Linked DNA regions of Bombyx mori. The protein of the gene in region 1 interacts with the protein of each later gene in a pairwise test. Links are inferred from orthologs where the notes say so. Each region holds a gene or a part of one and is shown in the gene's direction. Other genes may lie near its edges. The genes, in order: phosphorylated adapter RNA export protein and cytoplasmic dynein 2 light intermediate chain 1.

Region 1 (4,399 bases):
GGTATCGGTTACATGCCAGTGAAAGGTGTTAAGCTTAGAAATGGCCATACCATCAATAGTTCGCATGAGATCACGAACCGGAAAATAATTACGCGCTGTGTCTAATAACAGCCCCCGGTATTTGAATCGAGGCGAATCGTCAACTGATGCAGCTTCTAGCATAAACAGTGATGCGACGTAAGGATCAAACCATATTAATTGTATTAAAGTTTCTAAGCCATGACGTGCACCACAGAACGTAGATGCAGATATATCTACGAGCATCAAACCGTCATCGGAATTAGGGCGAATTACAAGTTTGTAGTTTTCTTCAGTATCTATACGCATTCGTGGATCTTCACTACCATTTATGGCAATCCGGACGAGTACACTTCGCCGCTCTTCGAAACCAAATGCTGACTGTTCGAGTCTTTTAACATCTTCCCGAAATAATTCAAAGGACTCTTGTAGATATTCTTGAACCGTACGGGATGGAGTTAATAATATTTTCAATCTGAAAGAGTCAGCGTGTACTGGCACAGCGGTTGTGGAAAGGCTGATCGCTCCCCTTGGTTGAGGCCAAATTTGACCTCCTGCACACAACATGTTACATGTTTCCAGAGATTGTAATTTATTCGTGGGATCGGGACGAGATGGTACACATTTTTCATTAATACATTCCCAAGTCCATAAAGGATTTTTGCTCCTGCTTAAACATACATTATTTTTTAATATGTAGCCAAGTTTCTTTTAATATTAATGAAATAACTATTGGATTTAAATATTTTAAACTAACCTGAAACTACAATTGGAAAATGTGACAAGAATTTGCAATCCAAGTACTAGATAGTATCTCGATACAAGTATCATTCCACAAAATATTCCTTCCTGGAAACATTATTTAATATTTAACATAATTTAATAAACATTGTGGTATAAATTGTATTGTTGTGCAGTGCCAATATAAAGAATAGCAACATCAAATTCCAAAAGTCAAACAACGTGCAACCTTGTAAATCAAATTTTTTTTTTTTCTGTAAATTTTAAAGATAAATATTATTTAATTTATATTATTTTCCGTTATTTAATTCATTCAATTTAATTCCATATAAATTAAATAAATTCAAATTATTTTATTTCATTTTCATACAATAGCCATAAGTTTAGCCTTTTTTTAAAGCAAATTGCCCGTGTAGACAATAATCTCTTTGGTCTGCTAATTCATAAAATCAAATCAAGTCTATGTCTAAGACAGCGACTGAGTTTTGCCATATGCACTGTAATTACAGAAGATTCACTATAATTTTTTTGATTTTACTTTCTACTACGTTTTTAAAAATGCAATGTATGAAAAACAAGTTGAGTAAATAAAAATATCTGTTCATCAAAGTGAGATACAACCCTCTACTTCTAAAACAAAATAAATTACAAACAACAATTCCAGGATTAGTTGTTACGGTATGAATATTTTAGAATGGTTGCGACGTGATTCACGATATCCCTATCGTGCCTATTGTGCAATACATCGATGAATGCCGACATGAGGGCATTGAAAAGCCTAAGTTCATCAATAATCCAAGAACTAAGATATTTTTAAAACTTCTACGGCAAGCGTATTTTAAATGTCGTCAACGTCTTTAGTATCAATGCCTTAAACCGCGAAAATAAAGCTAGCAAGTTGTATTACTAGGAAAACGAGATATGGAGGATGCGCTATAACCACGAGTTGTGTGATATTTACAAGGATCCTAATATCATAACAACTATAAAAATTGAACGCCTACGATGGGCAGGACATGTGGTTCGAATGGAGAATACCAGAATGCCAAGACAACTGCTCTATGGCAAATCAGAGGGCCGCAGAAGTCGTGGCATACCCAAACTCCGATGGTTGGATGGCGTGGAGTGCGACCTCAAAGTTATCGGTGTCAGGAACTGGAAGGAGAAAGCCCTGAACAGAGCAGTCTGCAGAGACATACTGGACCAGGCTAAGTCCCACCCTGGGCTGTAAGACCTAAGATGATGAGGTTGTATTACTGAGCATAGAATATCTCAAAACTATAGATCTTCTAGTTGACTTTTTGCCAAAAATGTTTCCAGATTCCGAGATAGCAAAGAAAATCAAAACAAAATTCTGCGCCGTAAAAAATAATATTTTGGGCCCACATCATCGGGGCATTGACCCGCAGACACAAGGCACTGAGTTTCTCGCCGAATCATCTCAGTGGATCTCGATTCCGATCCAGTAGATACAACGAAGTACTGAACTGATCCCCGATAGTTGCATTGGTTTTAGCAAACGTCCGAAATCTCGAGGATGAGGATTTTATGAACTTAGCAAACTTCATGTTCAGCATCTCAAGACTATGAAATTCAAACGTAGAACATGACGAAAGGTTAGCGCAAGAAATGGCATCAAAAGAAAGAAAATGAATCGGTTGCTTAAATAAACAATCAAGTGAAATTTTTAACACGCCCTTACCGGTTGCTTAAATTTTAAACCAAGCTATAAGGCTTTCATAGTTAAAATTAATAAAAATGAAACTGCTTTATGTTAGACAGAGAATGATTTATTTTATTTTTAATTAATACATGTGATTTTCAGAACATAAAGGTATATTTATTTACCTGTAAAAGTGCAGTATTTAACTAGAATATACCGTATATTTTATTTAAATAATAAAACGCTGTAAAATATAAATCTTGTCTGGCAGCACTGCAGTGAATACCGAAAACTAGGGGACTTTTTGGCGGGAACGCGAGGAGTGAAGTTGTGTGATTTGTTTTATTTTGTCTATTTAGTGTTTCTTCGGGTTTAAATGTGTAATAATGGTGGTTTATTAACTGTTTAATATCTGTGAAAGTGCACAAATGTGGGAAAATGAAACAAAGCCTCTGGACGTAACTTCTCGGGATCCTCCAAAAAGTCCACTGAAAAAATCTCAGTAAATGACCACCATTTTACTAAGATTATGTTTCATCCCATATCATGTCATTTCATCCCAATAGATTAATATCTCAAATTAATCATCTTCATTTCATATCACTCCATATTATCATTTTTCATAAAAATAAGAATATAAATTAAAAATAAGACATGACTTAAAGGTCTCAGTAACCAGGTCATAAAACCATTTAAAAAAAAAATTACTGAAAACTATACTCTATACCAAAGTTTGCTATCTATGACTATGTTAAATACAAAAAGACAAAAGTGCTAAAAATTTTGCAATTAGCCGACTAGTATTTGTGTATGAGTTTCATTATAATACCTTAATGATAAATGACATTCTGGTGCTAAATCAATCACATCAAGATGATGTCGACAACAGAAGTGGAAATAGACTTTGATCCAACAAGCGAGCGCGAAGAGGGGGAGGTGAGCTTTTGTAATAATTCCTTCAAATTTTCGTGTATTTTTCTGCGTTGTAAAATATACAATATTTTCAAGAACCCCAAAGTAATCTACGAATATTGTTTTGGAACATTAAACAGATCATGTTTTGGTATACCCAGTATTTGATAATTGTTTCGCTTTTGAAAACATTCAACGTTTCTTATAAACAAAAGATGTTGGCCAAAAGTAATATTTTTGACCTATCGTTTTTAAGAAAAATGTGTTAGGAACACTTAGTATTACATTCTTGGTTGTGAAACCACTCTAAAAAGATACAGCTAAAACACGTCATGTCAAAAATAGTCTTTTGAGAATGGTAAAAAAGGTCAATTTTTTTTAAAAACAAACCTTTTTTATTTTTAATATCGTACAAATATCGCAATTCTTACCTTCATAAAATAAGCTAACAATAACTTAAGTTGCTCTAAAAACCCAGCACTTAACTTGAACCTGTTTGCTGTATCTGCCCAGAAACATTAAGATGTAGTAATGTAAATGAACTTACGACCCACCTGGTGTTAAGTGACCAAAACAAAAAAAAAGGGGAAGAAAATACTCAAAGTACCATCTGGCTTGGAATAAGCTTCCCCACCACGGTGTTTCCCAAGTGCTAGACATGTTCTTCTTCAGAGGAGGCTCGCGGAAAGTGCTCAACGGTGGGCAGCTTGGCTCTATCCCTGGCATTGGTAACGCCCATGAGTGACTGTGGACCGCATGCCTGAAAAGCCTGAAAAGGCAAAAAATTTTTTTTTGCTGTACTATGTTATTTTCATCTTCATAATTTTACTACAGAAACTTTATGTGGAAAAAGATCAATCAACATTTGTTGTTGTTTTATGAATGTCAAGTACACAATTTGAAGAATAAACCAATATAATTCTTTTCAATTATTTTTTCTATATATTGTCGTCATTTTGTTGTACCTAAGTACAAAAAGTTCTGTTCTTTGTATTGTATTGTATAATTCTCATATTTAAGTTTATTTCTAGTACAAATCACAGGAAGGCGTTATTGTACCATTTA
Region 2 (4,294 bases), on another chromosome or scaffold:
CGACATCAACCCCACAAAAACCACAGCGGTGCTCTTCAAAAGGTGTCGCCCTCCGAACACCACGCTGAGCATCCCTCTCCCGACTAGGCGCGTCGACACCTCCGCCATTCGCCCAATCACGATGTTCGACCAGCCCATACCGTGGGCCCCGAAGGTCAAATATTTAGGCGTCACCCTCGACAGTAGGATGACATTCCGCCCTCACATCAAGACGGTACGCGACCGTGCCGCCTTCATTCTAGGACGTCTCTACCCGATGATATGCAGGCGAAGTAAAATGTCCCTTAGAAATAAGGTGACACTCTACAAAACTTGCATACGCCCCGTCATGACCTATGCAAGTGTAGTGTTCGCTCACGCGGCCCGCACTCACTTAAAATCTTTCCAAATTATTCAATCCCGTTTTTACACGATAGCCGTCGGAGCCCCGTGGTTCGTCAGGAACGTCGACCTCCATGACGACCTGGACTTAGAGTCCATCAGTAAGTATCTTCAGTCGGCGTCGATGCGCCACTTCGATAAAGCGGCACGACACGAGAACCCTCTCATCGTGGCCGCCGGTAACTACATTCCCGATCCTGCGGACAGAATGGAAAGCAGTCGACGTCGCCCAAAACACGTCATCTCGGATCCTCCCGATCCACTAACGGTGCTTTTAGGTACTTCAAGCACCGGTCACCGTTCTCGTCGAACCCGTCGCTTGCGACGAAGGGCTCGACGAGTAAATTAACTCTCAGATACAGACCACTGAGTTTCTCGCCGGATCTTCTCAGTGGGTCGCGTTTCCGATCCGGTGGTAGATTCTGCGAAGCACGGCTCTTGCTAGGGTTCGTGTTAGCATCGTCGTCGTCGTCAGGTTTAAGCCCCGTGAGCTCACCTACTAGCCACGGTTACGCTGAAATAGCCTCTCAAGGCTTATCAGCTTAAGTAGAAAAAAAAAAAAGGAATCCATTTTATTACTGAGTGTATTGTACGTCGTCAATTCGCTACAAAATTTTGCGTATCCCCCACGCGTCCGCGACGTTCTCGATGTGCCGTCGCGGCGGGTTCACGGCGCATCCGCTCCGCCCCGCAGTCGCTCGCAAACCGCTACTATGGATAAGGCCCTTAAGGGTGGAGCAGCCGTTGTACCTGATACAGCGTTTAGGTTGTTGATGTCTATGGGCTCTATGGTAACCACTTAACACCAGTTGGGCCGTGAGACTGTCTGCCATTTTATTGATTTAAAACCTTTATACTCGAGCATAGATTATACACTTAATTGTACTCGAGTCTCATTGCTTAGCAACAACATAACAACAAATATATTTTCAACAAGCAATCAATATAAATAATTGGGTGTACCGTGATATCTTTAGAAGTAAAGCAACAAATAGGAAATCAAATATATTTTAAATAAATTCGTTATAAAATGTTGTCTATACCGGAGAGAGCAGCACAAATTATAGACACACAGGAGCAGCAATTAGACGAAATCAATTCTCGGACTATTTTCTTAGCAGGCAGTAAAAACGTGGTGGGTAAGCTGAATAGTATGAAATTTTATTTTTGGTGCGTCTTATTTTCTCTCGCCCGCTATTTATCGATAGCGTTACCGTACGTAATAACAGAACCTTCCTTAAAGTAACAACTCCAAGGCACCAAGTTTAGAGTCAATCACACATGTATTGATCTTTATTTAATATATACTATATTAATTACATGATATTATGTACATCGAACTGCCTTAAAAAATTTGTTTGTAGTTACATTAAGTAAACACTATAAATGTTGAACATTCACACGTTTAGAAATGAATATCAATAAATTAATGATTTTTTCATAAGCTAAGAATATGCTTTTATTTAGGATAGAAAGGAGATTACAAAATGATATTACAAAATACTACTATACACTACTAAATACACTACTGATATTACAAAATACTTTCTTCAAACGAGGCTTATGGAGAGTATTAAACGGTAGGGGCAGCGGCTTGGCTCTGCCCCTGGCATTGCTGACGTCCATGAGCGACGGTAACCACGAACCATCAGGCGGGCCGTATGCTCGTCTGCCTACATGGGCAATAAAAAAACCTTAGGTAAATAGTGTACGTTTACAATACTATTCTAGGGTAAATCAACACTGCTTCATATGTTTTTGGAAAAATTAGAAACTCCACGGAACACTCTTGTGTTAGAATATTCATTTGGAAGAAAAACAAATCTTAAGCAAGCAATTGATAAAAACGTGTGTCATATTTGGGAATACGGTGGAAAATTAGACATGTTAAAGAATGTTTTGCCTGTGCTGCCTAAAACGAAGAATTACTATTATTGTATAATGGTTGATCTGAGTAAACCGAAGACCTTATTGCAAACCATCGAAATATGTCTTCATGCAATTAATGAAACACAATCTATATCCGATAACTGTGTAACAAATTTGATTATTTTGTGTGGAAAATATGACCTGTTTAAGAATTTTGGTTAGTGCACTTTATTCTAATATTAACCATTTTTTTAAATATTTTTTTAATTGGTGGATGAGCTCACGGACCTCCTCGTGTTAAGTGGTTACCGGGAGTCTATAGACATTTACAATATAAATTCCGTCACCTCCCTTTAGATATTATTTCTAAGGTGTCAGTTTTTATAGTACAACGGCTGCCCCACCCTTCAAATCGAAACGCATTACTGCTTCACGGCAGAAATAGGCAGGTGGTGGCAATAGGTGGTGGTACCTACCCGCGCGGACTCACAAGACGTCCTACCACCAGTAATTACGCAAATTATAATTTTGCGGGTTAGATTTTTATCACACGATGTTATTCCCTCACCGCGGAAGTCAATCGTGAACATATGTTATGTATGTATTTCATTAGAAAAATTGGTACCTGCCGCGGAATTCGGTGCATTGCAAGATACAAATGCACCGGCTTATCCTTTAGGCTACAACGACTTCATAGTGAACTTTATAGTTCAACGACATAATTTCGCCTCAAGTCAAGGTTAATGTCATTATACTACAATAAACTGGGTCTTGTTTCCTGGGACAGTCCACTAATTTAAATAAATTTCTTTAATATTGTAGAAACCTTTTTTCCTTAAAATAATACTTCACTTCTACTGGACAAAGTTTTGATAACACGCAAAAGGATCGATACCTATAGGTACCTATAAAGAAGATTAGTGGGAATATATCGCTATCGCTCTTGCATGCCATTAAGTTATGTTTGTGATGTCATAAACCATTCTGTATGTCCCGTGTATATTATTTGACCATAATTATTTAAGAAACGTTACTATTTCACTAATTAACTTTTGAACATTATTTTTGCGTTACAGCATTCAGTGGCTATACGAACAGCTAAACGGCACGCACGATGTTAAATAGTTACCGGATCCTATAGACATTACAATGCCATTGCAGTCACCCACTTGGATTTGGGTAGTCAGTCTCAAAAGAGTTTAATATTGTTTCTAGCTAAGGAATCAAGAACATTATACACTTTTTTGGCTTCGAAAACAGCTGGAATATACCAAGCCACAAAAAAGACTGAATTTTTAAAAATAATTATGTTTTTAGATACAGAAGCTAAAAAGATTGTCTGCAGTACTCTTAGAAGTGTGGCACTACTTAATGACGCGCATTTAATGTTTTATTCATCCAAAGAATCGATGTTAGTTAAACGAGCTAAAGACATTTTTAACAGTATTGGTTTTGAGAATGGGATTTCTATCAAAGACAAACAAACAAATCCTACAAAACCACTTTTTATAAATAAAGGGGCAGATACCTGGGAAAATATTGGGGTGGCAAGATCGACTTTCGATGAGGTTAGTCAATAATTTCATATTTAGAGTACTTTGCGTTATAGATGTTTATGGGCTCCGGTAACCATTTAATACCAGGTGGGCCGTGAACTCGTCCAGCCAACATGTGGAAAAAAAAGACGAGTTTAAATGAGCGAAAGGCATAATTCAAAAAGCTTTGTTAACAAAACATTGGGTTTGAATACAGATTTTTTACGAGTACCTAAATGTACTTAACAATTAGAATAGAGCAAAAGTGTATAAAAACTACGGAACCCTGAAAATGTTCGTTTATCATAAAGAGATTGGTACTTTTGCAATAGCCTAAGGAGGCTCCCCTAAACCATCACTCTTTCACTGCACTATAATAGGTGGTTGGACATTTTTAGGGTCTATGTAAGATATAATGGGCTGCTCACATTCAGATATGAGGTCGAAGTCTCAATTTTATTCCTTATCGAATGATTTAAATAAGGGTCTCTTTAAATATTCCCACAATT

What was found.
Region 2: the proteins of phosphorylated adapter RNA export protein (region 1) and cytoplasmic dynein 2 light intermediate chain 1 interact in a two-hybrid assay, tested with the Drosophila melanogaster proteins (2 studies listed by BioGRID). The link is inferred for Bombyx mori from reciprocal best matches to the Drosophila melanogaster genes Phax and CG3769.

The regions. Positions count from the first base shown.
Region 1 is NC_085125.1:10,882,476-10,886,874, forward strand, and holds the start of phosphorylated adapter RNA export protein, read left to right. Parts: upstream 1-1,361; 5' UTR 1,362-3,295; coding exon 3,296-3,358; intron 3,359-4,399. Other genes in the region: probable beta-hexosaminidase fdl, read right to left, coding at 1-688, 776-849.
Region 2 is NC_085118.1:10,604,059-10,608,352, reverse strand, and holds the start of cytoplasmic dynein 2 light intermediate chain 1, read left to right. Parts: upstream 1-1,271; 5' UTR 1,272-1,411; coding exon 1,412-1,516; exon of another isoform or gene 1,517-1,520; intron 1,521-2,112; coding exon 2,113-2,467; intron 2,468-3,567; coding exon 3,568-3,818; intron 3,819-4,294.